Sus scrofa: one gene and its partner. The protein of the gene in region 2 purifies or fractionates together with the protein of the main gene of each other region. This does not show direct contact. Links are inferred from orthologs where the notes say so. Each region holds a gene or a part of one and is shown on either strand. Other genes may lie near its edges.

Evidence for each region. Proteins that work in one complex are often made in the same cells at the same time.
Region 1: the proteins of KIFAP3 (region 2) and KIF3C purify together in Homo sapiens (co-immunoprecipitation; 3 studies listed by BioGRID and IntAct, counting the BioPlex papers as one, with this or other methods). This does not show direct contact. The link is inferred for Sus scrofa from reciprocal best matches to the Homo sapiens genes KIFAP3 and KIF3C.

What each region holds. Positions count from the first base shown.
Region 1 is NC_010445.4:112,976,905-112,980,559, forward strand, and holds part of KIF3C (kinesin-like protein KIF3C), read left to right. Parts: coding exon 1-996; intron 997-3,655.
Region 2 is NC_010446.5:81,102,776-81,105,732, forward strand, and holds the end of KIFAP3 (kinesin-associated protein 3), read left to right. Parts: intron 1-1,756; coding exon 1,757-1,865; 3' UTR 1,866-2,360; downstream 2,361-2,957. UniProt on the Homo sapiens protein: Involved in tethering the chromosomes to the spindle pole and in chromosome movement. Binds to the tail domain of the KIF3A/KIF3B heterodimer to form a heterotrimeric KIF3 complex and may regulate the membrane binding of this complex.

The sequences.
Region 1 (3,655 bases), on a different chromosome or scaffold from region 2:
TCCTCCTTCGTCACCAAGAATGTCAAGGAGATCGAGCACGTGATGAACCTGGGGAACCAGACTCGGGCGGTGGGTAGCACGCACATGAACGAGGTCAGCTCTCGCTCCCATGCCATCTTCGTCATCACCGTGGAGTGCAGTGAGCGTGGCTCAGATGGCCAGGACCACATCCGTGTGGGCAAGCTCAACCTGGTGGACCTGGCGGGCAGCGAGAGGCAGAACAAGGCAGGCCCCAACACAGCTGGAGGGACAGCCACACAGTCCACAGGGAGTAGCGGTGGTGGGGGAGGTGGCGGTGGTGGAGAGAGGCCTAAGGAAGCCTCCAAAATCAACCTCTCACTGTCTGCCCTGGGCAACGTGATCGCGGCTCTGGCAGGCAACAGGAGCACCCACATCCCCTACCGGGACTCCAAGCTAACCCGGCTGCTCCAGGACTCTCTGGGGGGGAACGCCAAGACCATCATGGTGGCCACCCTGGGCCCAGCGTCTCACAGCTACGATGAGAGCCTGTCCACCCTGCGCTTTGCCAACCGGGCCAAGAACATCAAGAACAAGCCCCGGGTGAACGAGGACCCCAAGGACACACTGCTACGGGAATTCCAGGAGGAGATTGCGCGCCTGAAGGCCCAGCTGGAGAAGAAGGGGATGCTAGGAAAGCGGCTCCGGAGGAAGAGCAGCCGCAGGAAGAAGGCCGTGTCAGCCCCAGCCGGGTACCCGGAGGGGCCGGTGATTGAGGCCTGGGTGGCGGAAGAGGAGGATGACAATAACAACAACCACCGCCCGCCGCAGCCCATCCTGGAGTCAGCCTTGGACAAGAACATGGAGAATTACCTGCAGGAGCAGAAGGAGCGGCTGGAGGAGGAGAAGGCGGCCATCCAGGATGACCGTAGCCTGGTGAGCGAGGAGAAGCAGAAGCTGCTGGAGGAGAAGGAGAAGATGCTGGAAGACCTGCGGCGGGAGCAGCAGGCCACCGAGCTGCTCGCAGCCAAGTACAAGGTAAGGGCTCCAGGGGTCCCAGAGGGATCTGGGCTGACAGGCTCTTCTTTGAGGGACTGTGATGTGGCCTGAAGCAAAGTGTCCTGCCCTCCTGCCAAATGCTCCCCTGGAGAAGCCAGGCAAATTCCTGCAATTCTGGGCTACTGGCAGAGCCTCCAAGGAGCACCTAGGAGAACACACACACACACACACACACACACACCCCAAAGCAGGCAGGCGGTCTCTCAAGCCAGTGAGCTTGGGCTGGCCTGACTTGCCGCCTGTCAGTCTCTGCCGGTGGCCCCCGTATTGGTCAGGTCGGTGGCCAGTCAGGCAGGCCCTCAGCCTCATTTGAGTGTGAGCTCCCACTCTTGCATCGCCTCCTCCCTTGGGACATCCTCCCTTCGAGGCACCATCAGCCCTCACCCCACTTTAATACCTGACATTTACATCTCGCGTCACAGTTTGTAAAATGCCCCTCACACATGATCTCATTGATCCTTACAGTAGCCATCTGGGGTACTGGTTCTTAAACCCCCATTTTACAGGTGAGAGTCTAAGGCTCAGAAAAGTGGCGTGACTGAGGGTCCATCCCACAAGGTGGCAGAGCCACACTGACATCCGTGGCCCTGGTGCTTTCTCAGTTCTTAGATGGCGAGGTGGGACTCTGAGGGGATCGGGCTCCCAGTGGAGGCAGTCAGCTTGGCCCACGTGGTGCAGGGCCGTTGCTTGGAGTCCTAGGAAGGAGGTCATGCAGAGGGTCGGAAAGAACCCAGCTCTGCACCGGAGACCTGGAATCAAGGCCAAGCTGGACTGCAGTGACCTCGAAGTTGCTTCTTCCTTTCTCCTAGTCTCAGTTTCCCTTTTTGTAAATTAGAAGCTTGGTCCTGGTCATCTCTGAGGTTCTAATCTGAGAAGCCAACCAACTGACCCCCACCTCCAGGCCTCATCCCAGTAAGATCCAGTTCTCCCATTGCCCTGGGAGACATCAGGGCCTCAGCATCCTTCCTGAGCTTAGCTCCCTCCAGGCCCCGGTGGAGCTAAGCTACAGAGGGACCCCCACCCCCATCGCCTGGCCAACCACAGAACTGTTCACTTTCAGTGCTGCAGATGCCACAACTCAGGTTCCAGGCATTTCCAGGTCCCTGGAGCCCTTAACACTGAGAGTTGGAGGAAAGACACATAGAACCAGACCATGACCTGGTGGGGAGAGCAAAACCTCACCATCTCTTATTCCCTCTCAGGAGCACAGGCTGGGGTGCAGGGGAGCCCCACCTGGAGATGGAGAGTGGCAGCCGCTGGAAGAGAGACTGATGGGCTGCGTGCCATTGTCTGTGTTATGAGAACGTGCTGCTGCACCAGGGCCTCTGGCCTTGCGTATTTAATATTTAATTCACCTCCAGGAGCTCCTCGGAGAAGGGATCAGGAGCCTGGCACATTGGGAGCCATCCTGCGAGAGGCAGGATGTAAAGGCAGGACAGTTAGGACTCAGCTGTCCCGAGGAGGAAGGGAATCCAGGCAGCTTGTGCTTTCCATGGGAATCTGACATGGGGACTCTGTCGTCAGTTTCATTACAAGAGCCCCCGCATCACCCCTTGCTCCCCTTCCCCACCCACCCTTAAAGCTGGGAGGCAGCAGATGCTGAGAGAGTGCACTTCAGCCCCGAGGAAATGGGTGGGAGGGATGGAGCAAGGGATCCAACGGATCCTTCCCATTGGGAACAAGGTGATCTCCCATTGTTGGCCACTCGCTGGTAAGAGTCTTGGATCCAAGGCCATGTAGGGCGTAGATAGCAGGGCAGTCAAGAGATCAGGGCGGCCAGCACCAGAATTCTTACATCAGAGGCATAAGCCACAGACACGTCCATCTTACAGCTGCCCGGGGCCTTGGAAAACTGAGGCCCAGGCTTGCTCAGGGCTGCACAGGTGAGTGAGGGAGAGCCGGACTCTTTACAGTGGGTCCAGCTTCTTTCCGTTTCACCCGGGTCCTGGTATTGTTGTCACCTGTGCTCCTTGATAATCAGAATAATTGGTTTTATTGCAAGTGTTTATATTTTATTCTCATGGAGTCCTCCCAGCAACCTCAAGAGATGGGTATTACTATTCCATTTCCGTGATGGAAACCAAGGCAGGGGAGGGTGAGTGACAGTGTCGGTGACCCGGGCTGATAGGTGACAGAACCAGGACTGGAACCCAGGTCTTCTGAGGCCCCCAGACCCAAGTCTGTTCTTCCCAAGTATTCTCGGATCCCTCCATGTTTGCTGTCTGTGTGACTCAGGGCGAAGGCCTTGGCCTCTCCAGGCCTCAGGTTTCCAGTCGCCTAATGAGAAGTCTGACACAGCTCCCTGTGGACCAGGTGAAATTGTCATCATGTGCCCGGCTTTCAGATATGACCGAAGCAGGAGGGATGCCTGGGACATTCCAGGGAAATGATTCCACATCCTGGAACTTCTTTTCACACCCAGCTCAGGACACACAGCAGCCAGCAAGCCCAGGATGAACCTAGCCAGAGGACCCCAGCCTCCCTAGAGTCCCTCAGGCACCGCTGGCTGAGCGTTGGGTGTTTCTAGGATGGAGGAAGCAATTTGAGGGCTCCCAAGAGATCCTCAGGGTAAAGAGGGGCGGAGCTTGTTAGAGAGAATCCCAGACCTGCCTGTTTCACGCAGGGTTGTGCTGAAGAT
Region 2 (2,957 bases):
GCGATCAGTTATGTGCCTCTTGTTTCCAAGTTCTTGAAAAAGATAGCACCACAGCCCTAGACTGAGAAACAGAGACAAAAATAACTTGAGTATTATCTAAGTCTGCCGCTGTTCAGCCTCAGAAGAGACACTAAAAAACATAAAGAGTGGCTGAAGGCAGGTAATAAGTAGAAAGACGAAAAAAGGAGTTGAAAGTCACAAGCTATACAGTTATTCTTTATATTATTGACAGTTGTTTAGATACATGAGTATTTGTTAGCCTTAGTGCTTCAAGAGAAAATTTTCCAATGGCCAACATTTCCCCTAATTTTAAACAGATACAGATGTGTCTTAGTCATGAACTAAATATCTAAAACATCTTTAAATCTACCTCTAGAGTAATATTTCCCTTCATCAGAAACTTTAATCTTTCTTTCCATGGGACAAAGGTAGAAAGGGCCTTGTATTTTGCCATTTCAAAATAAAATTCGGACTTAAAAATTTCAGACAACTTTCAGAAATTATAGAAGGAGCCCGAAAGTTTGTTTTGTCCAGGATCACTCACTACAAATGCTAACCTAAACCTTATATTTCAGAAACTCCATTCTCCTAGGAGGTAGATTCGCATGGATTACATGCCCTTTATTCCACTTCTAACACACACACATGCACACAAATTATTTAAAATTTAGCATTTTAATAGTTATTTCTTAAGTGTTTTAGCATAATCTTATTTTGAGTTGTGAGAGGAAGTTAGTGTCTAAATGAATATATTTTTAATAATATTGAGTTTTTGCTGATAAAGGGAAAGTTATCTACCTAGCATAATCTACCTCAAATAATATTCATTTGTATTTATTTTTTTAAAGTTTACATTTCTGCATAACAATTTCTTTTGATTGGGAATAAGCTCACTAGCATTCACTGCATGAGCTATGCATGAGCATGTTATGGCTGCCATATTTGCCTGGCAAAATAAATATCTTGTCGTTTTGCTAAGTGATAATTCTTTGACTCTTAAACGTGATTTTTAATAAATTATTATTAACATGTAAGAATAATTTTTAAAATTTATCCAGGGTTCAGTCTGCCTGTATAACTCTGAATATTATCTTGGGCTTCTACTATTTCCATAGAATAAATTGAGTCAAACTTTATAATTAACTTGCTGTCACTCAAAACATGTACTAAATAAATTTTCATTGAAGAGTCAGAAGAATTTGCAGATCAAATCTGGCCAACTATCAAATTTTGTAAAAATCTTAGTCTTATTCTTTTAGTCATAGGTTTATATTATGATTTTGCTCTGAGTGAGAAGATTACTGCTAGAACTCAATTCCATGTCCTTACTAATAGTGAATTAGTCCTATAAAAAAAGAGATCTTATTATAAGTAGAAGAATTTATTTTATTACAGTTTTAATTTATCCTTCCCCAGCAGTGTATTACTGATAATTGCTAGCATGTAAAATATTTTCATATTCTGGCATAAAACCATATATGAATGTAATTTATTGAAACTTTTCTGATCTTTATCTTGAATGACACCTGATAACAGGCTTTCAACATTTTTAACACAAATTATTAGAAGTAAATATTTATTATACACATTTTTATGGGTATATTAATTTAAAGAAGAAAAAAGGTTAATGATAGTCAACTACATAAATCAGTTTTGCTGCTATGAAGAGAATCTTGGAGGTATAAAATTCCAGCCTTCTTGCTTGACCTGCCCTGGGATGAAAAATATAACTGATTATTTCTTTTTCTTTTTTTAGCCTTGGAATAGATGGCTTTGGCCAGTCAGTTGGCATTCTTGGACGCCCTGCTACAGCTTACGGATTCCGCCCTGATGAACCTTACTACTATGGCTATGGATCTCGATAAAGTCATCCCTTTCCCTGTGTGCTCTCAGCTTAGAAGAGATCTGTGCAGTCTAGCTTAGCTTTGAATCTTGGCCTAATAATGCATGTTGATAATATTGCGGTCTGTGTTTCTTTTTACTGTTCCATGTGATTAGCTCCAGATTAACTTCAGCCCCTTCTGTCCTATGTTAAGTATACTTGATACTTGACACTGTTCACTTATCTTAATGCTGAGTAACATTTCCCCTAAGACTCAAAAGTGAATGCTGAAAAGCAACTAGACTGGGAAACAAACTCTACATTATGTACATTAATTGACTAATTTAATTTCTATTAAAAAGAAGCATAAAGTACAAATGAATTAGCAGAAGTCATGTGTTTCTATTTAATGTATGTCATTAGGAGTTTACATGCTTTTAGGAGTGCAATATGAATTTTATTTTTTCCTGTCCTTTTTCCCCCTTGTAAATCTCTTAAGTGGTTCATATATGTGCTACCTTTAAAATTTACAAGAATATCACCTTTTTTTTATTTCATGCCATGTGCCTGATATGTTGCTTCCCAAAGTTATTAACTATGGTTTTTTGATTAACAGTGGAACATGTACCATAACTATGTTCTATGAGTAGTTTCTTAAGCAATTAATTCAAATTAATTTTGTATTTCTGATTTTAATTTAAAAAACCTAGGACATCTATCAGTATACATGAAACTAGATTATTACTGGGTTTTAAAATTTTATTCATGAAATCTAAAGTATGGAAAAGTTAATTGTAAGTCTCATTGAAGAAAACTAAGGAACAAAATATTTTGCTCACTTAGATAACTGTTTCTAAGCGTTTTTGTAAGATTTAGGCAGTAAGAAATGGAAAGACAATAATGATTTATTAATAAGATTGTTTTTATAAGATTTAGGTAGTAAGAAATGGGGAGACAGTTGTGAAAAATAATTCATGTTACAATATGGACATTTTACTTGGAAAACAGAGCAAATAAAATAGATAACTGTAATCTACATATATTTCCTTGAGCACCTACTATGGAAGGACTTATATGAGACTTTGAAGGGAAAACATAGATCAAAGATATGAATTTAAAATCTTACTGATCTACT